Linked DNA regions of Styela clava. The protein of the gene in region 1 interacts with the protein of each later gene in a pairwise test. Links are inferred from orthologs where the notes say so. Each region holds a gene or a part of one and is shown in the gene's direction. Other genes may lie near its edges. The genes, in order: proteasome subunit alpha type-7-like and trafficking protein particle complex subunit 13-like.

Region 1 (16,475 bases):
GGCCCTTCCAGGGCCACGGTCCCTAGTTTGGGAAGTCCTGGTGTATGATATTTGCGATAGTGAAATAATTTTGTTCCCCTCTGTGATAATGTGAGGAAAAACATAAGTTTCAAAACTTTTGAACGATATTTACACGATTTGGCAATCATATTGCAAATGAAAGTTTCAGGCCGTTGTTGTAACGTGGAAACAGCACTACTCGAATACTTGAGGAGTGCGGTAGATGGTGTTTTTGTTGCCCTATCGGCATTTGTTTGTGATATTTCATCCAAGTCCTATTGAAAAAAAAATAGATCTGAATCAAGTTTTTTGTCATTAAAATATATTTTGATAACAAATGGTATTTTTTTGAGTTTCGAATGCGATTCGGGATATACGCTAGAAGGTCAAACATCAAGACGTTGTGAGGAGAATGGTTTATGGTCCGGACAAGCAGAGCAGTTTTGCAAAAGTACGATATATAACTTATACAAAAAAGTAACCTTGTGAATACTATGCAAAGGCCCACACCGAATACACTAATTACAATGCTGCGATTTGATTAATTTAATAAATTGCCTTTTCATCTAATGGTCCAATTTAAATGCATATAATAGAAAATTAATGTAATATTTTAATTTAATCAAATAAGAGTAAACAGTTTGTCTCTAGGGTAAATGTTTTAAATATTTTCTGTCAATAACGGAGGATAAATATTTTTGAATCTTGAAGGTTTCGAAATCAATTTTGAATACTGGATGTTTGAGCTCGATTGTTTGTATTATACCGGGTAGCTATCTTTAATCTTAGTTCAAAATCTTTAATTATTTATTTATTTCAGTTGTCACTTGCTCTGAGCTTTCTTTCGAAGGAACAATCGAATGCATACCAGAAAATAGCATTGAATTCGATACAGCTTGCGTGTAGGTTCAATTTTCGTGTTAAACTGCGTTTTTGATAAAAAAAAATATCGCAAATGACAGTTCCCAATGTAATATGATTTCCTGTTATTCATTTTAATTTCTTCTGTTTCTATTTCAATGATTTTATTTAAAACCGCATAATATGCAATTTTTATTAAACAAATCCATTAGAAGTAAGCAGCTGAAATGAGAAACTATGTTGGATGCCAATTGAAGTTTGCACAGGGTAATGGATAAATCTTGAGATTATTTACACACATACTTGACCTCATTAAATCATTACGATTATAAACCTAATATTGGAAATATTGTTAAAAACGTCTTTTGTTTCTAGTTTTTCCTGTCCTTTGGGTAAAGCAAAAATATCGGGTGATGTTATAAGATTTTGTCAAGCAGATGGGCAATGGTCTGGAATCATGCCAGTTTGTGGAGGTGAGTTTTATACCATCCGCTTAAAATATAATATACAAGAAATCATTTCCAAAACAGTGCAGTTAAAGTTTATGATATCATTATTTATATTTGAACTTTATACGGTCATTATATTAAACGTTTTATTTTTAGCCGAACTTAATTTGATCGAGACCAAACATTTTTATTGATCAGATATTTATGGATGAGAAAATATATAAATTGTTTCTGCTTTCAATTTTTCCCCCCACCATTATTCCCACCATATATATATGCTTTTTATTCAGCTCTAATGTGCTCGTTGCTAACTTTTCCTGCTGGATCCGTTGTTTGCAATCCATCGGACTCAATTGTTTACGGCACTGTATGCAGGTAACGGGAAAATATTTTACTATGTAAATGCCTTCGATACGGGTGCTTTTCAAACTTGTTTGAAGATCTAAATCATTCTTGTTGCTCTGCTTTCTACATGTTCGTTTGCGCCATAGTTTTAATATTCAGATGTGAGGTTGCGCATGTCAATTTACTTTTTTTTTTTTTTTATTGATAAAAGAGTCTTTAAATTTACCTATTTTAGTAACTGCAAATATTTGCATTTGAATTTTCTTTATTTTTGAAAATGATATTATTCTTAATGGTATGTCAATTTCTTTATTTTTGTAGTTTTGAGTGCCCTTCTGGTTACGAGCCTGACGTACAAGGATTGACAATGACTTGTGAGGCGGATCAAGATTGGTCTGGAAGTATGCCAACGTCATGTCAACGTAAGAATCCATTTTCATAAACCTATAATTAAATTGAATATCATTGATATCATCTACGTTTCCATGATCTAACTAAACTACGTTGTTTTTTCAGCTGTTGACTGCGGATCGTATCCAGATGTTCTAAACGGGCAGTCTATGTGTGATGGTACAACATATCAAAAAACATGCTTGTGAGTCTAACTAGTTATTCATTTTTTTGGTACTCTCGTAGTATGTGAACCAAGATGGCGGACAGCGGAACGTGGTATGTGAATACCAGGTGAGGATTGGGCTATAATTCTAGGTACAAATACTACGGGAGAGACTTGGCTAGTCCCCGAACTCGTAATAGAACTAAAATTAGAATAAAATTATGGCCTAACCTGGTACACATACAAGTTCCGGTGTCCGCCATCTTGGTTCACATACTACTGGAGTACCATTTTTATTTATTTTTTTGAGATAAACCAATACCAATTCAGTCACGTCAGAAATAACAGCCCAGTATTTATTGTCATATTCTTCCCTCTCATCTTCGTTTTGGAAGAACTATCTTTCTAGATGGTAGTTTTCACATATCGTCGTCAAGAAGCAAAAAGTTGTTCTTGTTCACGCCAACTCAGTCTCAGGTAGACAACAAAATTCAAAATGCGGTGTGCCCTACCGGCATAAACGTCAATTACGATATCTGCTATAAAAAAACTCCGATTCTGTAATATCAACGGTAGCGGCATTATAATACTTTCAAAGGTGGAATAATAATTCATTTTTTGCTTTAACACAAATTAAAACAAGGACAATTCTTGTTAATCAAATAAAAAATCGACGACAACTATTGAAACGGCGTGACAAAAATGATGTTTACCAAGTGTACGTCTGAATCATTTCTGCTACGCTATACGTAGTGGTACTCATAGATCAAATGTTGCTCGCGAGCGACACTGATATATAGTGGTAGTCATTTCAGGGACACACAGTGTTCGATTGCCATATATGAAACTGGAACAACTCATAGTTGTTTAGTTCATGCAACTTGGCGATAGCCTAATTATGGTACGATACATAACAATACATTGAAATTATTTATTCCATGAGTTGTATGCTTTCAGCGCCATCTGCAATTTGGGTTACAAAGTGAAAAATGCGCAATCCCAGTGCATGGCTGATGGACAGTGGGGTGTTCCTGCTCTCGAATGTTCAAGTGAGTAGTTATATCACCAGGTACAAAACAATTGAATTATCTCGTCAAGAAAATTGTTAAACATAGTTTCGTATTTCAGGAATTATTTGTTCCGACCTTGATTTCAACAATCAACCTGGAAAAATGACTTGCAATCCTCCCGGTTTCGGTTACCCGAGTACTTGCAGGTATTTTTTCAATTGAGTCAAAGGTTTTGAATACTGAAATAGTAATACTCTAATACAATTCTGGTGCTAGTGTAGAAATAGTAATATAACTTAAGTCTTATAATCGGGATTCATCGCCTCGTAGGATAACAATTTAGCAATCAAAAATGTAATCAGCGACTCCCCATGCTTCTTGCTCAGTCACATGTGGCTAGGCCGAAAATTTCGACAAACCCACAATGCATTTTCTGCATGAAAGTGATTCAAATATATAAAACTTAAATTTGAAATTAGGAGCGACTTACTAAAATTGTTGAATACAATCAGGGAATCGTAATTCAAACGCGCCAGGTTCTTGTTATTTCGAATTATGCCTTGTTTCAGTTTCATATGCTTCGATGGCTACGAATTGAAGGGATCAGAAACATTAACTTGCCAAAAAGATGCAATGTGGGATGATATTGAACCAACATGTTTAGGTAAAATGGTGTATGCTTTTTGGGGTGAGATGTCGTATATAGATGTGTCGACTATCGATATTTTGCTTCTGGCTATATATTGACTTTGTGTAATATAACAAATAAATCTTGTATTTAGACGTCTACTGCCCAGCATTATCGTTAGAAGGTGGGATTGTTGATTGTTCAGACGAATGGGAGTATTCAAGTGAATGCACGTCAGTATATATGTTTCGATTTACTTATGGGAAGATAGTTTTTATTTTTGCATGTTACATTCTACTGAATTTACTTACTATTCCGAAGAGGCGTTAAAACATTTTGCCAAATATCGCATTTATATGTTCAGTTTCAAATGCAATTTTCCTTTGACACTTTACGGAGAAGATGAAATAACATGTCGGGCTAATGGACGATGGTCAAGTCCAGTTCCAGAATGCAAACGTAAGTCCTTCTGTTATTGAGTACAATTTGAAATAAAAGTACTTTTTCAACAGGGTATGAAAGATTACACATACAAAATTTTTTATTTATATTCTATCGGATATATCACCATAATTTGCAATTAATAGACTCAATTGTCATCCTATTTCAATTGTCAATTAATGTCAACTTGCATGACGACACGACTCATTAAAAACACTCAATATTTTATTTTATCAAATATTATCCGCTAATAACAGATGCTAGAGTTTCTATTTGACATTCGATTAATGAAATCTATAAACATATCTGTCTAGTTGATATTGACATATTCATTGCTTTTTAGTTTTCGATCCAAAATGTGACGATGCTATGGCACCAATAATTTGCGTGGATAATTGTGAAACAAATTCTGATTGCGAAGAATCGGAAGTTTGTTGTAAGAGTCCATGCGGACTAACATGTAAAAAAATTAAGGACGATCCTAAAAAGCCATTGCTAAGTGAGTAAAAATAATTTTGTAGCAGTTGGTGCAATCGATGGAAGATTTCTGAACATCAAATCAAATTTTCAAAACACCACAACCATGTATTTCACAATGCGTTTAAAATGTTTTAATATTAGTTTATAAGATGTTTATTCTTTTAAATTTAACATAAAATTAATACAACATATATTTCAAACCTCATTTTATATCATTTAAAATCATTTCAGATCTGAATAAAAGAACAGTCCTTGCTCTTTTGCTTGCCGGTGCAAACAGACAACCGCGTCCGGTATATAGGCCTGTATGTCCAAGTTGTTACGTTAACGCATGTATCAGAACAAGTTGTCCAACGTTTCTCAATGCGGTGTGCAGAACAAGTTGTAATGGATGTAAAAAACATTTCTTTAATCCATCCAATCTCAGACAGGATATTGCAAGCCAATGTTAGTATTTTTATTTTCCAAATATCTTTATCGTATTGGATTATTCATGATTTTTCTTTTGTCATTTGCATTTATTTATTTTGCGGTCTACCATGGAACATTTTATATGATTCTTTACATGAACATTGATTGCATTACTGAAATCAGTCCACCTTTTTGTGTAGAAATTCTGAAACAATAATGCTCTATCAAACAAAATATATTTCAAGTTTATAATTTCCTCATGTTTTTTTTCTGTAATACTCAGGTGATTGTCCACCGAATAGTCCACCAAACCCAAGGTGTGGTGGATATATGTGCAACGGAGTTGGATGTGCAAACTTCCCACAAGCTGAGTGTCGTGTGTACGGTTGTGGGCCAATATGCTATTTGCAGTTTTTCGATAGATTTGGACGAAGAGTACCATGCAAAAGACAAGGTAGTTAAAATGCACTCCGTATTCTAAGTTTTTTTCAAATCTTAGTTTTTTATTCATATCATCTGAATAATAGAACCTTGTTTCATTAGAGAGCAGCGGTAAATTTGAAAAATACATTTGAATACAAAAATACATTTACATTAACCTGGAACTATTATATTATATTCGTATTCGTGGTAACACAAGGTTTGGTGATTTCAATGTCAGAAATCTCAAAATCAACTCTTTTGACATCATTATTTCGAGAAAAAACACAAATTTCGGATAAAAAAATAATTTTTATTAATGGCTTGTCCAGAAATAGCAAGATATAAATATTTCTTTCTTAGATCATATTATACCTATTTTTTTGCAATATAATAATGTTCAAAGATGATATTTAAAATATGAAGATCTACCTCAAATACTGCTTGCATCAAAACAGATGCAGAGTAATTGTTAATACATATTACGAAGTATTTTTATTTTTATTCTAGCAACTTGTCAGCCTGGAATAAACTTGATTGACCGTTGTAGCAGAGGATGCCTTGGTACTACTTGTCCAAAATATCCTGGAGCTCATTGTCGAGTTCCGTGTCCGGGATGTCCAGCACATTTCTACAATCAGAAAACGAATCAACCTATTCTTGATTGTGTGTAAAATTATAAAATTACTTTAAACACAAAACTATCCAACAATGCTGATGAATGCAAAATATATTAACGGATTTGGGTTCTTATCCATTCATCATACAATCTTCGAATTATGTGTAAAATAACATTAGCTACTATTTTGCTAAATCGTTGTTGTTAGTCTTGTTGTTGTTAAGAAAAATTTTTTTAGGAAAAATCTAACCTAATTCTTGCAAACTAACATAGCTGTTTTCAATGCAGTGTGAACGTTTTGTCATTTTTATGTTTTACAACTTTGAGTTGCAATAGATTTATCACAAACAGATTAGAAAAATTAAGGTGCCCCTGAGGTATGCGCACCAAGATGTCGCACGACCTGAACCCTCACCTGGTACACAACCTGAGTTCAGGTTTTGCGCCATCTTGGTGCGCATACTTCAGGAGGTCCAAAATTGAAATACAAGCGAATATGTAAATAGATAAATCACATTTATAAGAATAATTTTGTGAGTAATCATTGTTTAAAATTGATGTTTTAACATAAAATGAACGTTAACGTGGTACGCGAAAAAAAAACTAACCAAACTATCAAATTTTGTGTTTTACGATAATACACCAATATATCAATTTTACCTTTCCTCATATTCAAGAATCTAGAATATAATTCAAATCGAAAAAGCAAGTAGGATTTTGGATATTTCTGAGTTGTTTTCAAATAATTATTGATTGCTTGTATGATCTTAACATTGGCGACATATGAAAAAATATAATATTGAGGAAGAAATGCTTATAAAAAATCAGATTGTCTACACTGCCTTAACATCTGGAGCGTTGTTTTTGTTGGATCATGAACCTCTTGTAGGCTATCTCCTGCCCAATTCTATTGAACGTGTGCTATTGTTTGGCTTTCAGGTTGAAGCCAAATCATGCGTGAGCAACAATGTTTTTGCGATTCTACGATTTGGCACGACGATGATTGTATGAAATGTGCTTATTTTTGTAATATTTTAGGGTAAAATTATATAGGGTAACAAGCTTCACTAACCGAATGAGGTACTTCAAGAATGTTCACAACATAACGTAGTAAACGATGACGTCTAGCGGCACTTAAAAATACAGTATTTCTTACTTTTTCAATCAATAACATAATCATTCATCTTCACCGTGAGCTTCATAAAATCGAATCTGCAGCCTATTCAAACCTTTTTCAAGTTTGTATATGTGTAAGCGATGCATTTATTTCTACCTTGAGTTCAAGTGGAGACAAAATTGCTGAAGCACGAGACGAGAATTAATAATTGATTTTGTGTTTACAGCCTGTTTAACTTTTATATTCAAAACGTTCAACTGCTTCATTCACTTAAACTTGCCCACGCTCCACAGCGACTTCATGTCTCGGTCTCGCTCTCTCTTTCAGAACGGCCTGTTTCTGTTGAGGGTAGGGTTGAGGTATTTTCAGGCAAACTGTAACACAGTTACCGGTACTGCTAGTTTAAGAGATAGGCCTACTGCTTTTGGGGAAAAACTATAATTTAGACAATGGGTAAACGTAAGCACGAGTTCCGTTACGAATATAAAGAAGAATTTGCTATTCTGTCAGACAAAGTCGAAAGAGTAAGAGCTATGCCCACTATGACAGCTATATCAACCTAGAGGTGGGGTAACAGCAATTAGTGCCCACAATACTACGGCAAAACACAACAATTTTGCACTAAGGATTGCGGGAAACCAAGGTATGAAGACTTTTTTTTTACAAGCAGAACGTTTCCAACTAAAGTAGACCACAAGGGTATCGACTTCCGAGGGTGCTTGGGCACCAGCAATCATTTCTTTCCAACAATTGACCATGCAACTCATCAAAACGATCTTGCCTGATTCAGACATTGTTAAAAATTTGCAAGTGCTAGAACAAAGTCTACGGCCAATAGTGATTACATGTCCACTGGAACCGGTCTAGCAGACTTCAAAAGAAATACCTCACGCTGCAGTGGTTCGCGCGAAATTTCAAATTCAACCTTTCGGTCCATAACATTGGACCACTTATCTAGGAGGTCTGAAACTGATCTGTATCGCTCTTGCTCAGTTACTTTGTCGTGCTATTCGATAAATCGTTGTTACTCACGTTGATCGAAGGGCTACGGACGTTGTTTTCTTTTTCATTTCTGGTAAGTGAGTTGCTTATTTCAACAAATTAAAATTCAGCTAGACAATGGTACGTTCAATTTAAAGCCTTACATCTGTGACGACCCTTGTTTTATCTGTTAAATGATGTCATTTGATGTTGTTTCCATATTTGGTATTTTGGCACTGAAGACACTGGGTGCGCTGTAACACTGTCGATCGTTCTTTTGGGTAGCAAATTGTAATAGCTAGTTTAATGTACCGGATTCTAGGGGTCATTTGGCTTCTAATCAGAGTGTCTTTGATTTCAGGGTCCGTCAGTGTTTTTTTAATGTGTATATGGTTTTTCCTGCATTGTGCTGGCTGGTATTGTTATTGGACACATTTAGTGGACATAACGATCGTTTCAATATTATGTTGTTATTGTTATTATTTGTCTCCATCATTTTTAAAAAATCGCTTTTCTCTTCGAATACTGGACCAATTGCTTTGAAATTTTCAGTGAGTAAAGATTGATTTTTTTGCCAGAAGGCTATTTATTTATTTCTAAATTTCGCATGAAATCTGATATTTCGTCTAAAATTTCGCTGTATTATTTTATCCATGGGAACACTGGCTGTCCGGGTTGATTCTGTAAATTATTTCTACGCGAAACTCGGAATTTTTTGTGGGTACCGGTGGCGACAAAGGTGGTGACCGTACATTTGAACCCACGTACATTTGAACCCATGTGTATATTCGCGAGTTCAATCTATATGCAGGTTCTAAAACCCATGGGTTAGGGTTGGTATGGATTCAAATATCCACAAAACAAAAAATAATTTCCATAGGTGCAATAGTATGCAGGTGCAATTGTCGTGGGTTCAAATGTACGTGGGTTCAAATGTACGGGAACCGTCAAAGGTAAATACTGCTTCGCTCTGGTTAACGTGTCCATATATTTGAGCACAGCTCTCTTGTTTTTATTATATGCTTTCCGTTGCTTTGTAGTATTTGGTTGTATTAAGATCGATAATTAATAAATGAATAAAATAGCATAAATTGAAGTGAATATTGAGGGAAAATTGACGTCAGATCATATTGGAAGATATTCTGACTTGGATAATTATTCCATAGACTGCCGGTACGCTACACATCTATTGTGTAGATGTTGGACACAAATTTGAAATACTGGTACTGGTAGGATTCCGGTTTGACGTAATGGCATGATAGGTTGTTGATTAGTAACAGAAAATAAAATCTTAATATCCAAGTATTTCCTGGTATAAACTGGGCACAGTGCGAGAACTGTAGTTTGCATTGACTAATTTTACTATCCGTTGATGCGTCCAACCACAACGAAGTGAATTTTTTTTTCTTTGGTTATCAGCTCTAAAGTTGAAGTTAGGGTGCGTATTCTCTTATGAGGACTCGAAACAGATAATGAACTTTATTCCTTCTTTCTTGAGGCTAGCAATTCTGCACCTAATCAGTAAACAGTTCTTCCTACTCACACGCTAACGCGGGGGACTACATTAGACAATGTGGTTGTAAAAATTATAGATCTTTAGGAACCATTCAAACATCATTTTTTGTCTTTAAAAAGATCCGCCGCGAAGAATTATTTAAATCAAAACAGTCGCTGGTTATTATATATTTTCTTTACAGAGCTTTATTGGTCGTCAAGAAGCCACTATTACTAATTCGAAACAACAGTGCATTATTTACTCAACTGGCTGATATAATTGATTCGTTGAAGGGCGCAATCTCGCAGCGTTGGAGTATTATGGAGCAACAATAGCTGAATATTGAAAGTGGTAGAGAAGGACCATGCCGATGCTGAAATGCTAAAATCAAGGTTTCAAGAGTTTTACACAATCACTATGAATTAGTGATAGTTCAATAGTTTTCCATGTTTTTGTTTACAGTAATCATTACTGTCATGTTATTATGTCATTGCATGCTCCATTGGTCACTTGTACAAATAGTGTTCATTCAGTTGTAAAAGGACAGTCTGTTCCTGATGCTATATTGAGCATGTGCTCCATCTGAGGGTTGTTTACTTTAATAATAAACTTTTATTTGACTTATCAATGGTAGCAGAGGCTTAAAAATGACTTCTGTTAATGGGTACAAGAACCCTCCCGAGTTTATGAGCAGTGCAGTAATGAAATAGCAATATGGAAACTTGTGACACATTTGGATGCAGGCAAGCAGTCACTTGCAGTAACACTTTGTCTAAAAGGGAAAGCAAGGAGTGCTGCCCTTGAAATATGCGCTACTGACTTGAATAAAGAAGAGGGGATGGAAACTTTTTTCAATAAACTGGATGGTGCTTTCAAAAGAGACAGTGTAGATCGAGCCTATGGAGCATACCGTGTTCTTGAAACACTTGAAAGATGTTCAGATCAAAGCATTCAAGATTATATTGTGAAGTTTGAACATTTATATAACGAGGTGAGGAAACATGACATGCAGTTACCAAACTCCATTCAAGCCTACAAACGACTTGAGAGTGCTGCTCTTTCTCAACAAGAACGTCAGCTCATATTGACAGCATCTAGTAAACTTGAATATAACATCGTTAAAGCTTCCTTACGGAGAATATTTGGAAGTACTTTTAATAAAGTTAATACTGTGGTTGCTGTAAAGACTGAGCCAACTGTGTTGCAGAACTAAGCAGTACATCAAAGAAAATGACACCAAACAATAATCGAAGAAAAAGACGCAGAGAAAGAGGCACAAACCCCAGAAGAAGAGATGGCACAATTACAAAATGTGTTATTTGTGGTTCAAGCTTTCACTGGGTCAGAGATTGCCCACACAAAGATAAGGCCAGAATTACTGAAGAAAAAGATGATGTGAGTACAACTTTTATAGCAAAATATGTCGATTTTGATGTCTTTGTTGCCAATAATGTGGGATGTGTAATCATTGACACTGCATGTAGCAGGACGGTATGTGGTGCTAAATGGTTATCTAATTATATCAACAGGCTCACCCCCCACATGATAAAGAAAGTGAAATATTTGAACAGTGATGCATCACTCGTATTTGGTGATGGGGAAAATTGTCAAAAAAGCATTGTACAAAGTGATATTACCGGTTGAAATAACTGATATTTTTCGTAACATTGCATGTGAAGTTACAAAACAAAGCTACCTCATCTTCTTGGTAAAACATCCTCAAAAGAAGCAAAAACGATTATTGATTTGGGTATAACTGAGATGTTTGGAAAACCAGTCAAATCACTTGCAGGCGCAAAAAGTCACTATTATGTTAATCTCTTGCCCAGGGGAGAAAAGAATTTATCTAAAGATGGTCCACATACAATTTTGGCGATCAATGCAAACTTGTCTAAGAAAAGATTTGTTCACACTACACAAGCAATTTGGCCATGCATCGTATGATAAATTAAAATCTTTTTTGATTAATTCTGGGGTATCGGAAAAACATGTTTTTGGGGTTTTGAGAGAGGTATATGACGTGTGCACGAGAAGAACAAAATCCCCTCCAAGACCAGTAGTAGAACTTCCAATGGCTAGAGATTTCAATGACAGTGTTGCATTGGATTTGCATGAGATTGTATCAGGTTTGTGGTATTTTCATGTTATTGATATGTTTTCTCGTTTATCAGCAGCATGTGTTATTCGCACAAAATCGACCATTACCATTGTTTGAAAATTCATGACCACATGGATTGGTGTTTATGGTGCTCCTCCAAATGTTCAAAGTGAAAATGGGGGTGAATTTAACAGTGCAGAATTTCGAGATATGGCAGCATGTTTTGGTATTGAAGTTAGTACTGCGCCTGCTCAAAGTCCATGGAGCAATGGGATGGTAGAAAGACATAATCACACATTGACCGAGATTTTGCTAAAGATCAAAAACAGCGAACGGGTAGATGGGAAACTGCCCTTAGCTGGGCATTGTCAGCCAAAAAATCACTTCATAATGTATATGGATAGTCCATATCAACTCGTGTTTGACAAAAATCCCCACTAACCATCTGTTATGATTGATAAAATACCTGCAATACAGAATAAGCAAATGAGTCAAATTCTATCTGACATCAATTTCATACATGTTGCAAGACGGGCTTTCCGTTGAAGCATAAAGCAGTGAACGTATCCGACGTGCTTTGCGGAAACAGGTGAGATGTTTTGAAGAAGATTTAGGTGATAAAGTGTATTATAAAAGGGAAGATTCATTGAAATGAAAGGACCTGGGCATGATATTGGTTGTGATTAATCTTTGGGTTTCGTACGACATGGAGCTATAGTTGTAAGAGTACGCAGATGCAGATTAATAAAAGTTTGTGAACAAATTTATTGTGATTTACAACAATCGAATCCTGATAATACAAAATTTTTGCCTAAGTATTATGACAAACTGAGAACCTGACTCTAGCACACCAAACAATTACCTACATGATGATGAGACTAACATGGATAACCAAAATTCTATCCTAGAATAACCGATAATAAATCTGTTGTGAATTTCAAGAAGGGACAGATGGTGCGTTTCTTCATTCCTGATGATGAATCCATGCAAGAAGCAGAAATTCTGGGACGTGCTGGAAAAGTCACGGGAAAATATAAGAACTAGTATAATGTTAAAGTGTTCAAGCCCGATGTTAAAGCAGGTCAAAATTCTTCCTTTGATTTTGATAAAGTACAGAATTTATTTGTTATATCTGAACAAGTCCCAACTGAAGTCGTGGATGAAGCTGAAAATGGGGTATTAAATAGTAATTCTCCTCGAAGGAGAATCTTTAATAACGTCATATATTTTCTTATTAGAAGCAAAGCATAAGGTGCTTGATAGTTGGAAAAAAATCAGGTATATAATGAAGGGCAAAAACTTTGTCCACCAGATGGGTATGTACTCTTAAAAATACACCTGATGGTATAATCTCCAAAGCAAGACTGGTGATTTGTGGTATCGGAGATGAATGTTCAAATGAAATACCAAAAAAAAGCAAGCATCACAGAAAGCGATCGTAAATCGATGAGATCACTGATTCGACAAATTCTATGGACCGCGAATCAGACAAGACCAGACTTAGCATTTGAAGCATCGGCTATGCTTCCAACACTACCACAAGCCAAAGTCAGAGATATTATTTCCCTGAACAAAGTTGTACGTCAACTGAAATCTCAGTCTGTGAACTTAAGATTTAATTATCTGGGTTCAGATGTAGGCTTACCATACGTCCCGGTTTAGCCGGGACAGTCCCGGATTTGACAAGCTGTCCCAGCGTACCGGCCGGTTCACTCAAATGTCCCGGTTTGTCAGCACGGCTGTCAAGGTTAAAATATTCATATATATATTCATTATTAATACAAATTTTTTTTAACGTTGGCAGCCCATTTACCACTGTTTTGCGACACACTTCGCTAGTTCAGAGAAAGTGAAATTGCTCTATTGTTATGTCACAATTGGTATATGTTTTAATGCGTTTTCTGGCGTTATTACAATACCGTTAAGTTGTCGAAATGCCATAAAGAAAGTACAAATTTTCTAATGAGTTGAAGAAAGATTTTCCTTATCTGAAGCAAACTGAAGGAAGAAAGGTACACTGTACGCGTTGCAGATCTGTTTTTCTGTTAGTCATGACGGTCGTTCAGATTTCAACGATCATATCCAAAGCAGGAAGCACAAAACACTAATTGAGGCATCGACTCGACCGACCAATTTCTTTGCGATAACAAATTCGGATGATTCTGTGTCGTTGGCAGCCGACATTTACCTATCACACTGCTATTCATGACCAAAGTTTTAACTGCACCTCTAAATTGATTTCAAATTTTTTTAGCCTAAGTTTGCATTAACTTGTAAATAAACATAGTTAGAATTTCTGATGTCCGCTGTCTGATAAGAGGATTCACTGATTTTGCACGTTTACCCAGAAATAAATGAGAGTCGGTGATTTTTAATTGCATTGCTCCGCTGTTCTCCTCTGAACCCAATGATGATTTACTTTAAACCAGTTTTCAGTAACCCTCGATGCCTCAAACAGAAAAGATATAGGGCTTGTTCCAGTTGTGGTTCGTTAATTTTTACCTGATGTTGGTGTGAAGATAAAACTATTAGAATTCAAATCTCTACCCGGGGAAACCGCCAAAACTTTTACTGGATACTTGCTCTCTGTTCTCGATCAAAGTCATTTAAAGGGAAAAGTTGTTGGATTCTGTGCGGATAACTGCAACATCAACTTTGGAGGCGTAAAAAGACGAAAAACAAATAATGCTTTTTTTTCAAACTAAAAGAAATATAACCGGTATAGATTGTGCGGCTCATGTAGTTCAATACTGCACTGCGATACCCTTTTCAACATGCCGTAGATACTTTGCCTATTTGTGTTGTTGTCAAAATGTATAAATATTTTTACATTTACACTGTCCGAGTAACAGAGCAGAAACCATTCTGCGATTTTGTTGATATTGAATATCAACGGCTGTTACAGCATGGCAACACTCGGTTTCTCTCTTTATTACCTGCTTTGCAAAGGATTACGGAAATGTTTGAAAGCTTGATAAGTTACGCAAATTCTCAAAAAGCATGTCATTACTCTTATGCTAAAATGTTCCAGCGTACGAACTTCACTTGAAATTTGGCCTTTGCCAGCTCACCTACTTCAACAAAATATTTTAATTTTGGAAAAAGATAATAGTAATGCCGTAGATCAGGGGTCGGCAACCTACGGCCCCTGGGCCGCATCCGGCCCGCAGAGTATTATAATCCGGCCCGTGACGCTTCACTGAATTATAGTAACAAAACAGCCGTTTTGGCGATTATATATTTTAAATTATATTATAACCTAACATGTATATAATTCACAATTATTCGTTTAATGAGCCTACAATTTAATTATAATTAGACAAATGGCAACAAAACGCAGAAAAGTTTATGCTAAGTGCAAAGAGTTCAATGGCGCTGAAAATATTCAAATGGAATTTTTTGAGATGCAATGAGGAAATAAATCTATATTCTATTCGAGAGATGTATCACTGCTTAATTTTTATTATAAAAGGAATAATCCGTTCGGTTTCAACTTTCTAAAGATATGTGCGGCCCGCCAATGACTCGCAACCCTTAATTTTGGCCCGCGTGCGACAAAAGGTTGCCGACCCCTGCAGTGGATGTTGCAAATTATCATGTCAGAGTTGAAGATAAATTTGCAGGAAAAAGGGTGAAGTCTGTTAATTCAGTCGCAATCACTTGTACTTCTGAAATCCTTGGAACGTTCTGGCGAAATCGACGTAACTGATTTCAAAAAGGATGTTTGCGATTTTTACGAGAAATGTCTATCGTATATAAGGCTACATGATGAAGCCTACAATGCTGTCCCCACATATGGACAAATTTGAAGGGTGAGATAAACTGAACTAAAGTGTTTGGTCTGCAAAATTGATAAATGATATGTTCGGTTAGCTGGTCAGGTTTTGGATAGCGATGCACTTTTCGACGAATGCTGATAAAGAGATATTTATCTGAGCATGGTTCAAATGCAATTTGGCTTACTTTGCGGTTGAATTTAAGTGGACAGAGATGTTAACCTTTTTTTCTAACAGAAATATTAGCATTTCGAATTTGCAGAAACTCGTTGATTTTGTTTGCCGGAACATCGGCATCTGTTGAACGGATTTTCTCCCTTAGTAAAATTTTTTGGTCTGGAAGCAGGTTCAGAATGCCAGAAGAAAATATAAAAGCACTCGTAACCTGCAAATTTGATGGTGATGTCTCTTGTTATCAGTTTTATGACAAAATCAAAACAAGAATTTTTGAGAAGGGTTCCATCTGCGAACAAACCCAGTTGGTCTGAATAAATAATACAAACTAGTTTTTTTCTAATTCAATGATCAGTAGAGATTTACAGCTGTATATACCCGCAATGGCATGGTAGACGTTTCAATATTACAAAGACTGGCAATCGACCGAATGTTTGCCAATTCGCACCGTCCCGGTTTTTTGTTTCAGATTTATGGTAAGCCTATTCAGATGACATCAGACTTATGGTGTATAGTTATGCGTCAATTGGTAACCTGAGGGATGGAAGTACACATGGAGGTCACATCGTTTTTCCTGCTGGAAAAGATGGAAGCATTTCTCCATTAGACTGGCA
Region 2 (15,365 bases), on another chromosome or scaffold:
TATAACTGTCGCGGATGCATGTTTGAAGTCATCACTATTACGTATGATCCGTTAAAATGATTTCTAATTGAAACGAGTATGTATAATAAAAACCAGTTCATAGAACCACATGGTTACGTTCAACAATTTCCAAAGCAAATCCGCAAAGTATAAGTATGCATTCGACTAAAACCCCATAAAACAACTAATTTTTGAAATTATTTCTTGACCGCCTACTATACTAAATGTATGTATCATATTTCGGCATACTAAATTCTTTTAACCGCGCTATCTCAGCAAGCAAGACTCGCTGTTACTGTTTGTAAATTATTGTCAATGTATGATGATCCTTTTCAACTTTCAACATCAATTCAAGACAGCGCCTGAAAAAGTGCTACTTAGCAAATGCATAAACATACCTCTCTCATCTTTGTTACTTCAGCAGCTATCATTGTTGCCACAGCGTTTCGTTTTGTGACAATTAATGCTCCAGTGTAGGCGAACTTTATTATCGGTTTCAAGCCTTGTGCTGGGCAATTGAGTTTCAATTCCGTTATTGAACTGGATATCATCTTTTTACTTTCGTCGATGAAACATGTTCTATTTAAAAAAAATAAAACGAGACTTTTATATTTTGGGAATTAACAATTTAATGATCTCGGGTGGAATTCATGAAGTTAATCAGTCTCGAATTTTAATTACCTCATTTGTGGAATCCGCGCAAGTTTACAAACCAGATATGCGGGTTTGTTAACAAAACCTCAAAGGAATCAATTTTGAAGTGAACAACACATTTATTCGAAGTGTAAAATTCAAGATGTGTATCTTTCGCAACAATTTATTATCCCAGTATCCAAATTAGAGCATTTTAAGACTTGAAATATAATAATCGCCTGTTCTAAGCTCTATATTAACGAAATAATGTTAATTATTCCTTTGCGGCCATCGTAAACAACACGATTATTTCCGCTGTAAATGTAATAAATAGTCATTGAACAAGAAAATTACCAATTAACTGCTTAATCATCTAACCTGAACATTCCGCCACAAGCAGCTAGAATTATTTTGTGAGCATTGAATTCTCCGCCTTCAGCGCGAACGCGAACATCGTACAAAATTGTAGTCTTTCGAAATTCTTCCAAACGCTTAAGCAGTTTGTCTCCATAATTTGGAATTTCTTGGCTCCAAGCCAATTGCTGTTGTTCAGTTGAAGGCTTATCGTTCTTCTCCATATCACTATATTTCAACTAACACTACTGCTGAACATGAAGCAATAGGCCTACCAGTTAAAAGCTGACATTCACTGTGAAAATTAGAAACAAAAGCCATAAGTTTAAGAAAATCATTCGAAACCGCGGAATTAACGAAACGCAATTCTAAAAATCAAAAACTACCGTGTTTCCCCGAAAATAAGACCTAGCCTGAAAATAAGGCCTAACCTGAATTTGAAAATGATTTTAGTATAATCCCTCCTCCTAGAATAAGACCTTTAAGATTTTTTTTTTACCTAGTCGATAGCAAGAAATCTCTCCTACACGTTTTAAATAATTAATCTAAAACGTGTGAGAGTCGAGAACGTGTTATTTTTATTAAATGGATATCGGTCTTTACATTTTGTATATTTGAAAATCTCGTAATTCTATACTTTGTAACTTTGTTTTTAATAAATGTAAATACAAGACATCCCCCCCAAAATAAGCCCTCGTGTTATTTTTCGAAAGAAATTTGAAATAAGACCCGGTCTTATTTCCGGGGTAACACGGTAGAAACAAGTCAGAAACGAGAATTTCATATAGGGCGCAACTCAGCGCAAGTAACATAAATATGAAGTATTCGTTGTTCTCCGCAAATAATAACAGCAAAATTTAAAGCTAAATTTAAAAGATTTTCAATTATACCAATTAAAAAGCATAATAGCTTTTAAATACGCACAAAAAGTCCCACAAATAGAACGTACAAAAACATGACTGACTTTATTATTGGTATTAATGTTTACGGAAATTGAGGAAACGAAGTTGTCTCGTCGGTTCTATTGTGTTAATACTGAACACAATTTCCTCCGCGTTATTTTGTATAGCTTTCCATGCACCATCCTTGGCTGTGAGACCCGAAGGTAATATCCACGACCATATTAAATACGAAAACTGTAATTCCTGTATACCATACTGACGAGGTTAAAAAATTGCGGTCTCGGTTATCATCGATATGCAACTATATAAAGGCTATCAACACAATGTTTTTATGCTAAAACATACATCTCTCATACATGCCAGTGCTGTAAAATGAATATTGATAATATTCGTGAACCCTATCCCGTCACAGTCGTTGGGGCATTGCTTAGAAATTGCATGACGATATTGGAAATGAAACGTATCTAAATGTATTATTCTGACAGCCACGCGAATTGCCAATGATGTCCTATTTTATCAATTGCCTTTTCGTCTGCCTGGTCTTATCAGCTATTCCAACCTGAACTCACAAGAATGAGGAAATGGATTACATTACTCAGCACATTATTCACATTTCTAGATATTCAAGCATACGTTATAAATATACTGCGTAGGCCTTGAATACTTATTTCCTATTCACGACCAACCTGCTCTGTCGTCTTATAGTCAGCTTTACTCAAAATCAGTGACGCGGTCTATCACTAAGGCTGAATGATTCCAGCAGGGTATGACAAACGAAGAAAGTCCGAGAAGCGCTTCCGAAATACATCGCAACCTCAGGACCAACGAAATGAAAACAAACCGACTTCAGACGTGAACAATAGCTTGTGCGACCAAAAGTGATCGATCGCGCAGGCATGCGCACCATTATGGCCTGGAGAGACGGCGAACAACATTCGCCATGCATGCGTAATGGAGCCGAACGCCTCAGGGATTGCTGTTAAAATAAAATATGGGCGTTAATCGCATATCGCGCCGCTGATCTTGCTAATTGCTTTTCCATGACCAAGTCAGATCCGTTTCACTGATCGGGCGGTTCTGTCAACTATAGAAACTGCCTATTTGGCAAGTTCGACGATGTAGACTTACCAATCTCTCCCTTTCGTAGGCGTCTAAGCTTTATGACATTACAAAATCTAAGTAGCAAGCCCTTGGATTTGAACAGTTGTCTCCCGCATTTGGGGTGGGTTATAGGTGGGAGCTTAATATGTGGAGCTATGCCGTGGGAAAGATAATATAAATATTTGATAAAGACAGAAGCACAAAAAAACTATGATCACTTAAAACTAAATGTTCCCCTATGCACCGATTTCTTCTAAAACAACCATATAGGATAGGTCATAGGGTTTACGTAGGCGAAAGCGCAAAAACCAAGCGATAGTCATGGTCAAGTTTATTTTTTCCATCCAGTAAAAAAATAACATGCAAAATTTAAAAGAATATTTTAAAAAGCTTTGGCAGTTAATCAACCAACATCGCGAACTGCAAATTACATGAGATTAACATTCGGCCTGTTAGGAGGCTAAGAGGGTGTATTTTACTTTATAAAATTTGAAGATGTGAAACACTTAGATATAAAACAGGCGGGAATTTTCACCATTGTAAACACAACAAATATATCTTTGATCATGAGACCGTTCTGGTACTATGTTTTCAAGAAGTGATCCAAATTTAGTGATTTCAATTCAAAACACGTGAAGATAACGACTAATACTCAAAATTAACAATGTCAAGTTGTTTGAATTAGGGACTTTCTTAGAATTACTGAACGGTACCATCAGCGGTTTCATTAACTCTGCACCCACGTATGTTTGCGCCTGCATACTTCTGCACAACCGATATTTTCACCAAGAGATATTAGCACCTTCATTTAGATTGCACCGACCAACATTCCTTGTACATTCGCAGCAAAATATATTTTATTGATATTTGACGCCGAGAGACGGACATCCCATTGTTATGACTTGTAATGAATGCGAACTCAGATTTTCATTCATCAACCTAGTATAGTCAAAATCGCTAACCAAATGAAAAACAGCAAGTAACAGTTGACATCATTTCGACGTAAAAATAACACGTGGGAAAAATAGATCAAACAACTTGCTCGACATAAAGCTTGCTTACACCAAGTCAAGATCGTTGCTCGTTTTATGCTTATGTAGGGAAAAGTTTGAAAGGTTGGGACATTTTTTGTTGTTGCAGATTTTGAGCCGTTTATTCTACTACACATTCATTTCACTTTGCTGGACTAATACAGAGCGTGGTGAATGTGGTTTTTATTCGGCGACTAAGAAATTTCCTTGAGACACACATCCTACCACCAACATGCCTTGAAAAACCTTTGTCAAGCGTCCCACCTTTTCACCTTGTTGGGCACATTCGGACAAACCCTGGCGCACATTCTGTTCAATTCAACGAAGTATGCCCTTAAAAATAAGTAAATAATCGTCCGAAGAACAGGGGGACTTCAAATTTCGATATTTAATATTTTTGTAATCAATGTTCAACCAAAATATTTTTTTCAAAGAATTCCGTAAACATGTCCCAGTGAACCCCGGCTATTGTTCCCCATAGGAAACAAATATTTTCAGACTGTCCCACGGCGAGATTAGTAACGAACATTCACTCGTCAACGTTATGAATATTATTGTACAGTGGACTAAATCTGAAAAATATCAGACGGTGGTTTTTCATATTGAAAAGGCTATAGCAGAAAAGAGAAAAAACTGGAAAAGTGAAATTTTAGTTTCAAACTTTCAACCCGCTAAAACCAATTTCACTTCATAGCTTGCGTCGCTCTACAACAGTGGTTCCCAACCGGTGGGAAATTTCCCACTAGTGGGAAATTTGGAGGTTGCAGGTGGGAAATTTAATGCTCCTCTCAAAATGTACGCACAACAACACAATTATTAAATATTACACAATGAAAATCACAACATATGCCATGAAGCGGAAAAAGATTCCTATTCAATTAATCAAAACTTTAGTAAAATATCACGTTGTTGGACATGATATTCTGATCGTGCTACGCAACTCATTTTGATCTTTGGTCGGCCGATAACAACCTCGAAGGCATGCCTCAAACGAGCACCAATAGCTTTGAACATTACGCAAGAAGATTTTCGTCGCAGAGGCGCAAAAAAGAACAGTTTTTATTCAAATGTCTCAGAAGTATTGGGTAGGCGAACAAATATTTGACCCGTCCCCCCATTCTGCCAAATTGTTAATAAAAGGTAATGGCTTATCTAAATATAGATGTCCTCTGAATAGCAAGAACCAAAAATTCCATAACATCGGTGGGACATAAATAAAACTTTGTCTCGTGGAGTGTGATGGTATTCTGCCGAGTAAGTCTGCGCGCCAAAAATGAACGGATCTCCTTGTCCAATAGCAATGCGAATTTTCAAAGATAGACTTCCGGTCTACCATATAAAAAAAACAGCAGAATTGATATGAACGGTGTAATGTAATGTAAACTTTGATGCGTTTTTTGTAATTTTAAGCGTTGAATTTCTCTATTCGATAGATAACACTGATTTTCTTTAAACGGATCGTCACTGTCTTGGGATGCTAGACGGCGGAATAAATATTTTCACGAGATTTCAACCTCTACACCAATTGCAAGCCTTTATTATAGAAAGACATACCAATTATTATTGACAAGGAAATTAGTCTTTTTAAAACAAGTCCATATCTAATGGGAAATACCAACTCAGCCTAATTGGAAGTGGGAAATTGAGATAAAAAGGTTGGGAACCCCTGCACAAGGCCGTTGTCCATTTGCGGAGACGTTGTAACTAACAGAAGGGCGGATTCAAACATCCAACCGCAGACCGGATTCCGGATATAGTATGAGTGTGAGAGCTGATTTTCCACTGTGCCCCTGGGGCCTAGGCCAGGGGTGGGCAACCCATTTATTCGGCACGCGAGCGAAGCCTCAGAAACGAGATCATTCTCTTTCAGATAAAAAGTTTCGAGGCTCTGATTTATCTGATGAAACTCGGTGTTTGTTTATTCATTATCGTTTGTTAACAATCTGTTATTCATTTAAAATTTTAAACTCTTTTTGTCTTTTCATGACATATAGCTACAAAGAAATATATTATGACGTAACAAATGAGTTAGCTCTTGATGAATTGTGATGGGACACAGCATTCATTGGTGGTTCATTGTTACGTAATATATAGTTATATATATAGTCTGTGACACCATTTTTCTTCATTTCTGATTGATTTATGAAGTTGTACAGCTCATGTTGGTTAGAGTTATTTGCTAACTTACTGAAATAAATTTATTTCGAAAGAAATATAACCAGTAGTCTCTCGTATATTTCTTTGAAAGTTACAAAATATAATTCCAATGTAAATCTTTAGCAACGGTAATGCAGCAGCAGAAATCTCACTTATATAGAATAAGAAAAGTGATCAAATCTATTTGCCGGGCTGATATTTTCCCGAATAGTGAATCTGTCCGTAGCTTACATGTTTAGAAGGTTTATTATTGTGTATTTTTGTTTTAAAAGGTTGCCCACCCCTGGCCTAGGCCCACCTTCCTCTACGTTTTTCCCCTTATTGACGCTTCTCTTGTGCAATACGCTAACTCTGAAGTAATGACTTTATTTGTGGCCAACTAATCAGACGCTACCGTAAATCTGATGTAATGCGCTCGCGGTTTTTCGTTAAAAGAAGATAACTGCCATAGGCAAAAGTGGAAGAGGATTAGTGATGGGATTCAGAATTTTAAAACAAGTTATTTTTTGTGTCGATTAAAATTAAAATGATATACAATAAAATTTGTTCATGGTAGTTAAATTATTGCTGAAATCAAATGGGTCCCAACGTTTAGTTAAGCTTGAGTCAATTCCAGTGTCCGGTACAAGTCCACAATCTCCGAGTCGTGTTTCGCCACTCAAGGGCCATTGGAGTCTCGAGTGAGGTCAGAGTCCCAACAAGTTTTAAAAATTCAGTTTTACATCAAGTCTATTCACTAAATAGACTCCTGAGCCTCATACCGAATCGCTGCTCTTTCGAGTTAACAAATTATAGTGGCTTTCATAGGCAACCGTGAATGACTCACTGACTTGGGTCTCTTCAACACTGATCAGTTGACAGTTTAAAAGACAATTGGTATATAGAAAATACAATTCAAGTACGTTGAGCTTTTTGCTGTAAAAACCAAATACTTTATAAATTTTAATAACTGAAATTCGAGGCAAAGTTCCTTTTTTGGTGATAATAAAATTATTCATTTCAAATGATAAGAAAAACGCCGGATGTTTGTTTAATAGGTTCACTCGATAAGCCGTCCGTTTTTTGACAATATGTACGTCACAATCACGTAATAGAGCTTGTCAAAGTATAGCGACGATCGCGCTCACTGGCGTCTGCGACAATGAACTCACTAGCCAGCAAGATATCCTTCTCGTATTGACGTGGTTTTGAGGTCGCGGTGACATATTTCTTTGAATGACGTAGGCAAGGGGGGTAGGAAATGACAAATGCAAGTATCGCTTTTCTCATTTACGGGCCATGTGCTTTTGAAATTTTTGGTGGTTAAAGGTTGTATGTTTTTCTAGAAGGCTTTTACTTTTATTTAGTCCTAAATTCACTGTGCGCTCTATGGGATTTAAAATTGCCTCGTGACGGATCCGCTTTCTCTTTAGTGGTCAGGTACCGTAGTGGCGTAGTCTATTGTGGCAGATTGCATACCCGTATTACGTTTTTTGCTTTCGTGTCAATATATTTTAGTATCGATAGAATTATAACGCGTGGTGACAGTGAAAAAAGATTGTGAAAGTAGCCATGAGTGCAATTACAATATGTAATCTGTCTTAATTCCTAATAAATATATTTAATAATGAGAAAATATAACTTTGCCTAAAACAAGAATAATCGCGCGTGAAAATGGCTGCGGGTGCAAATATCCAAAGGTGAAAATGAGCACAGGTGCAACTATACATGGATACAATTACAAATGTCTATGCGTGGAAATGTCCATAAATGAAATTGTTCGAGGGTGCTAATGTTCGCTAGTGCAATTGTACGTGGGTGCAAATATTCATAGATGCAAATATATATAAATACAGGTGCGTCATGGGTGCAGTTTACGGGTGCAAATATGCTGTCATCAAACCAACATACAAACTTAAAAACATACAATAAACTGCTTCAAGTCTCGCGTCAATATTTAATTCCCTATTAGATAAATTGGACTCTTGTTCTAACAGGAATTTTAATAATGAAAATCACTTGCTCAGATTTTTAATCAAGCTACATTCTTGACTGTCATGTTCGTTACTTTTTTCGCACATGTGAATATGCTGTTAATTGCTTTCATCTGGATTCCACCCTAGTAGGATAGGATAGTATTTACATATTAAAGACGGCTGAATCATATGGCGAATCACTGCCTCTTGTCTGGTTACCAGTCTATGTCGAGTATGGAATTGGTTAGTCATATATTTGTTGCAAATGCATGAACTTGATGGCGGAGGGAGTTGTAGGAAGGTTACGTGAACTAGCAATCCTCTCGCACATAATTATCCTCCGCAGGATTCGTACCCACGCGGTGGCGAACATATCCCCAACGCCTAACTTATATAGATTACTCGTGAAAACAATATGATGTTCTACTGATTTTTATTTGTGCCTCACTACATTTCTATTATGATTTCAATCAACCCCGTTTTTGAAAGTGAAAGACTTCTGATAATAAGTATAGGTTTATTTCGACTCTATAATCAGCATAACAGACAACGACTAACATATGATAAAATAATTAATAAAAACTAATAAATAAAAATTGTTCATAGCTAGTGGCCATAGATGATTGTTGTCCAACTATCGATGTCGAAGGCCCAAGCAGTCCAACTTTCTGTTAAATTGAGTGTTTTATATAATAATAAAATAGAGTGAGTGTTAAATTGAGTGATTTTTGAAAATGTAATGCCAAGAGTGAATAATGTAGTCAATAATATAAGAAATTCAATAAAGTGTAGGAGAAATATAGAACGACTACAGGACTGAGAAATTTACCTAATTATTGTGAAGAACTTGATTTATTATGCAAATATATATAAATATGACTAGAAGTGTTTATCGTAATGAAGTGGAACTAATTCTTAAGATTTTCTTTTTCATGCATTAATTAAAATAATGGTAAATGGCATCATGGAACATATAATTGATGATGACAACAAATGGGATTTACAATGGATACCGGTATGCTACAATATGGATACAAGTGATCAATATTTGTTATGGAATTTATACTGTCTCATCTGTATGTTATGATTTATATTATTATTTTATCTATAAAAAAAAAAAAAAATTGAGTGTTTTATCAGCATATTGGCTGTGGTAAATTCCATCTCTGATTCATTCTAAGGTGTGCAGTTTGGTAGCAAACTTGGAATCAGATCGTTTAGCCGATGGGAGATAGCCTATCTCAGATAAGTTGCAATGGATAAAGAACACATTCTGGCACTGAGAGGTAATGTTGACTGAACTTTTCTGGTTTTATGAATCGGTAGTCAAAAATGTTTAGATACTGTTACACGTTACTTTCCACTGACAGAAGGGCATTGTTGCTGCCTCGGCAAGGAGGATAAGAAACACAGTACTGCAGTAGAACTTGTCTAGTCTACTTGCTGACTCGAACAGCGGTGTGGTGCACCGCAACACTTTTTGCCACTACACCTCAGATTATCATGCATGAGTTTACAGTTTCGAATCCCGTGCAGGGGATAATTTGGTACATAAGTCAACCAATACAGCAATATGTGATCTAATCATACTCGAGTTTACCTGTACAGCCATACATGACTAGCAGTCTCATAAACATCCAACAGCGAAAGTGTTACCCAATATACAGTTAGGGTTTACATATTTATCTCGGGGAAGAGGAACGCCGATAAGACGGCTTATCCATATGGCGAACCATGGCCTCTCGTCCGGTTACCATTCCAAGTCTGGTATGGGATTAGTTATATTGTTCGTTTTCGGAAGCATGGACTTGCTGGTGGAGGTAGCCGTAACCGACCAGCGGTTATGTGAACCACCCAACGACGGCGAGGAGTCCAGCAATCCTCTCGCACATAAACATCCCCGCATGGGATTCGAACCTGCGAACCCACGCAGAGTAATTCTGTAATTAGAGGTGCGGTGGCGAGTGATTCCTAGCGCTTAGCCCGTTGAGCCACACCGCCGCCAGTTGTACAGCTATATAAGCATTCTTTCTTTAATCCTTCAATCAATACAAAATTTTCAATGCTTCTCCAACTACAGAAATAAGCTGTGTAATCTCACAATCTCTTGAAATTTAACCAGCTAGAGGGTTTCTGATCTTTTTTTACTTGCCGTGTATAAACTTATAATATTCTGGTATTGTGTGCAAAATTTGTTTCTTTTGGACGAGGTATTCAGCTTCATTATCTCTAAGTAACTAATATGTGACATGTTTTGCGGCACTCATGGGTTGGCTTTACAGTTGAGAAAAAGTAGCCAATTCAGGTGGCTACATTTTATTATCTATTTTTCATTTATTGTTATGAAATTCATCATGTGTCAAATTTTGTTATGTTTCAGTTATGAGGTTGACAAAACCTTCAATGTTGATGCCTATCTCACTATCACATGTTGAAGATACAAATTCATCAAACAAGATTGGAGATTTGGGATCTGGATTATGCACAGGTAAGCATGCTTGATTTGATATTCTATGCAAATTTATTTCTTCCTCCCTGGAATATCTTTCTTGTTGCATAGTACATTGTTTAAAGGCCAGTCAACAATATTATTTACTCTTGGCAGTCAGTGGCTCATTGTGTAGATGTGCATTTGCTTCGTCCAGGCAAATTTATTTAATGTCAACTATTATTCACATCAAGTGCAATTTTGTTTCAGAACAACTGTTGTCACTTCCACAAAGCTTTGGAAATATTTTTCTGGGTGAAACATTCGTCAGTTACATCAGTGTACATAATGATAGTACACAGGAAGCAACAGATGTCGTTGTCAAGGTTTTTTATATATTATACATTTATAACCCTAAGGGCTTCATATATTAATAAAGGGAGTAACCATCTGCCTTGAGAATTGTATGCAGCAAAAAAATTCACCTGAATTATAATATTGCCTCAATTAAAGTACTCCCTTTACTACAAAAATTCAAGGCAATAGTTTTGAATTTTTCCGAAGATGTTCATTGTTCAGTAATATTTGAATTGTGATAATATTCAAATTGATCGTTGTTTTTTTATAGGCAGATCTGCAAACTGGCTCGCAGAGAATTAGCTTAACGCAGCCTGCCTCACGAGACGTTTTATCGCCTGAAAATTCCATTGATGATGTCATGAGACATGAAGTAAAGGAGCTTGGAACTCACATGTACTGGAATTTTGTGAATTTAATTCCCTATATTGAAATACCACACACACTTAGTTTATTTCACGGATTTGCTGAGATTCTGGTACTATAGTTGATTGTTTTTTTGTACAAAAAAGGAAATATATACAGAGATGGAAAAAGAATTTAAACGAAACACATCATTTGATGCTGATGAATTATGAAATCCTATTTATTTCAGATTGGTTTGCAGTGTTTCATATAAAAATGCAGGTGTGCAAAATTTTTTCCGAAAATTCTTCAAGTTTCAAGTATTGAAGCCATTGGATGTCAAAACAAAATTTTATAATACTGAGGTTTGAATATAATATTTTTATATTAGTTTCATAAAAATATAGCAGAAGTGATGTGTATATTGTTCAATTAAAAGTGATTAATTATGTCCAAAACTTCCATTGGTACTATAAAAAGAATTTGAGCTATTACAGAAAATTCACCAAGATTAAAACTGATATTGTTATTGAAATTTTATTGCTAGCCTCATGAAGTTTTCCTTGAAGCTCAAATCCAGAACATTACAAACAGTGCAATGTGTATTGAGAAAGTTAGTTTTGAACCATCATCTCTTTATACTACAATGCCTCTCAACACCATTGACGATCAAAGGTAAGATTTTTTTTTCTGTGCCAACAACTTTCTGGGCTTATTTGATGTGATATGTAAATTATGTATATCACAGTGCTTTTCAGCTGGGGAACATAAAACATGTCATGGTTCCCTGTGTTTTATAGGGTTCGGTAAAAGTTTTTTCCTCAATCCCAATATTTTCATTATTGAATACTTATGAAGAGTTGAATTAATCACCTCGCTTCTAAAAATCCCTTGCAACATGGCAATTATCATATATTTCAGCACCTATGAGAGTCAACCATACCTCAAGCCGAAGGACACAAGGCAATATTTATATCAACTCATTATGAAACCTGGTAGCATATCCAAAGCTTTTGACAAGGCACCATCAGCGATTGGCAAGCTTGACATTGTATGGAAGACTGCACTTGGCGAAAGAGGAAGACTTCAAACTAGTCAACTTCAAAGACCGGTGAGATTTGTTGAACATGTACAAAACAAATTTAGGAAGTTTTATGAATAATTAGAAAGTGAGAATGCTCAGTCGATAATACATGGTTAGGAGGACCAAGAGCAGTTTTCTTTAAGCTGTGCTGGTCGATGCACCATCTTTTACAACTCCTAGCTATTTCCTCAATTTTAAATATTAATAATAAAAAAGAGATATATTTAATCAAATCCACGGTACAACAAGTTCAGAAAAGGAGCCTCCTATTTTGGTGTAAAATAACATATGTCTCATTCTTCACATGCTGATTTCATTTCAGCCTATTAGCCACTCTGACATAAGGATAGATGTGAAGAGTGTGCCAAGTGAAGTTGTGGCAATGGATTCATTCAAAATGTCATGTCAAGTAACTAATTGCAGGTAAGTTGATGTTGTAATTGTTATTATAAAATTACACACGACTGGACATATTTACTGTATGTTATGTTAATTTTCAATATGATCATCACATATAGTCATAGATGAACCACCAAGAGGTATTACAGATCCTAAGTCAAAATTGCATTCTTTGGTTCTTTATATCCAAAACACCGTTGTTGTTCAGTGAAAATTGACTTCAATAACGAACTTTTCATCATTTGTCGCAATGATATAGTCAGTAATATCAAAATTTGTTATAACAACATAACAAATTTGTTACTACTGAGGATAATAGCCTCCTGAGCTAGTTTTTATATCTGATGTTTTACTTCTATTCCCAGTGAAAGACCAAAAAATTTATCAGTATCGTTTGAGAATCAAACAAATATTTTGTGGAAGGGAATATCTGGATTTAATTTGAAGAAATTGGAACCAAAGTGTTCGACCTCGGTCGATTTTGATCTACTTCCTATAACACCAGGATTACTGGTATGTGCAACAGTAAATAATAAACTTTGCAATTACTGCCAATACACAAGTCCTGTTACGAAATAGCAGAGCGACTAATGAATGGTAACTTTATTACAACAGTATCTTGTGCTTTCAAAAGAAAAATAGAAAATCGTTAATATATCAAAACTAATTATTATACAGGGTGTGTCGGGCTTGCGGATAACGGACATAGAAATTGACAGGACATACGAGTTTGACTACATTCATCACATTCTTGTCCATGCGGTCGCAAAATGATCCTCCATCTAGATTCTTCATGCAGCGACCTCCCGATTGAAAGGAATAATGTGCAATATACTTGATTCATTCTACAAACATCCGCATGTCCATGGAGTCCGTACTATTTTCATACGGGGGATTACAAAATTTGTCATTACTCGTAACTTCGCCAGCCACATTGCCTGATATCTGTCCGAATGGTGCTTTGGAATTGCAGCTCGATAATGCAGATGAATTATCGTGATTTAAACTGTTAGCAAAGTCTGTATCCGGAGGAATATTCTCATCAGCGACAAGTTCTTCATCATTATTGTCCCAGTTTATTTTAAATCTTGTTACTCTGGGCTTGCTGTCTAGTATATTCCTTGTGAGCTGGCGAAAGAAAAAATATATATTTATTACTATTGAAATATGGCATATTACTCATTAGCGTTGTTCGAATATACAGTGAGAAACAATGCTCAGAATGTCGTCAACGACCGTTGATGAAATCTTACCTTGCTAAAGTCTGGGCTCTCAGGGGGATTTTCTCGGAGCTCCAAGTCATCATATTCATTGTTTACGTAGTAACCAACTCGAATAAATTCCTTAGTGTGATAAGTACATGTTATTATTACAACCGTCACACCCACAGCATCCTGCACTGGTATCAATTCAGTTTTTGGAGGATCGGCCTGGTAAAAATTAGTTAATGTTAGCAAAAGGTAGCTCCCTAATTCAGTAACCATATAATAGTAGTAAGTAACATTTTAATAGTTCTATAAACTAGCTCAAATTGACATTTCTCTTCACATGTGGCAATGTTCTTTAGTGGATGGATGTTTTAATTTCACCTAGCGATCATATTAGTATATAACATATATAGCAAACCTGGAAAACAAACTTATGCCGTCCGCTAGGGACTGGACCAACTAGCACAGAATCCAACTCTTGGTCATGTTGTTCACTTTCAGCAGATCCCACATATATGATTTTCCACTCCAAATCTATGAATAGAAATATTAAGAAAATATATCAGGAAGCTTTCACTCCGAGCAGCCTGTTTAATAATTCCCGGCTACTTTTTTGTTGGAGCTTATCCTCTTATACCAGTCTGCCAGTACTGCAGTATATGTTCAGACGTAACAGGTAATTTCAAAACCATCAAACAGTGATAGAAAGCAGAAAATATTTGTATAGTACCGTAGTGCTAGTGACTTATTGCACTACAGCACTAGGAGTCTTTTAAAACTTATCCTACTACCCTGCAAAAGCCATGACAAAACGAGTTCAGCAATCCCTGGACTGCATGCACAAAATTTTGAGTTAAACATTGTCTGAGGGTTGCAAGGTGCGCTAACTTGCCAATCATCGACTGATACCATACAGCCATATGTTATTGACAATTTGGCAGTAGAGCGAGATCATACAGCCATTTGCAATAATAATATTGTTATCCATCTGTACATGGTACAGTAATATCAAACATTAGACCTACGTTTTATACTCACCATCAGAAAGATTTTCAATGCAATCGAAAGTTATTTGAAATTGGAAAGGATTGAAAAACAACGATGGATTATCTAATACCTCCACGTTCACAATTTGAACTTTAGCCATCGTTCAATTGCATGCGTCGTTTCAATATCAAGGCTTGTGAAATGAGAACAACAACTTTAAAATAAACTGGAAAGGAAAGCGGCGGAATAAGCACAGCTGACTGGACTGTCGCCAGAGCGGAATCTCTAAACGGGAAATCGTAACGCGGGAAAAACGAAAATAATATTGATACATAATGTTGCCAACTTCGAATACATATTATGATCAAAGAGATCAATGAAAATATATAATTTATCTATTTCCTCAGTTCTTTGAAATTCAATA

What was found.
Region 2: the proteins of proteasome subunit alpha type-7-like (region 1) and trafficking protein particle complex subunit 13-like interact in a two-hybrid assay, tested with the Caenorhabditis elegans proteins (3 studies listed by BioGRID). The link is inferred for Styela clava from reciprocal best matches to the Caenorhabditis elegans genes pas-4 and C56C10.7.

What each region holds. Positions count from the first base shown.
Region 1 is NC_135262.1:13,590,587-13,607,061, reverse strand, and holds the start of proteasome subunit alpha type-7-like, read left to right. Parts: upstream 1-9,359; 5' UTR 9,360-9,375; intron 9,376-16,475. Other genes in the region: P-selectin-like, read left to right, coding at 354-451, 821-902, 1,237-1,334, 1,601-1,685, 1,977-2,077, 2,172-2,250, 3,169-3,260, 3,340-3,427 and 7 more. UniProt on the Caenorhabditis elegans protein: The proteasome is a multicatalytic proteinase complex which is characterized by its ability to cleave peptides with Arg, Phe, Tyr, Leu, and Glu adjacent to the leaving group at neutral or slightly basic pH.
Region 2 is NC_135251.1:30,091,967-30,107,331, reverse strand, and holds trafficking protein particle complex subunit 13-like, read left to right. Parts: upstream 1-9,222; 5' UTR 9,223-9,388; coding exon 9,389-9,419; intron 9,420-10,513; coding exon 10,514-10,621; intron 10,622-10,831; coding exon 10,832-10,947; intron 10,948-11,189; coding exon 11,190-11,314; intron 11,315-11,513; coding exon 11,514-11,628; intron 11,629-11,810; coding exon 11,811-11,938; intron 11,939-12,184; coding exon 12,185-12,374; intron 12,375-12,669; coding exon 12,670-12,770; intron 12,771-13,111; coding exon 13,112-13,259; intron 13,260-13,334; exon of another isoform or gene 13,335-13,424; coding exon 13,425-13,520; 3' UTR 13,521-13,582; downstream 13,583-15,365. Other genes in the region: uncharacterized protein LOC120336389, read right to left, coding at 399-579, 1,012-1,211; histone chaperone ASF1B-like, read right to left, coding at 13,587-13,874, 14,000-14,176, 14,373-14,488, 14,993-15,101.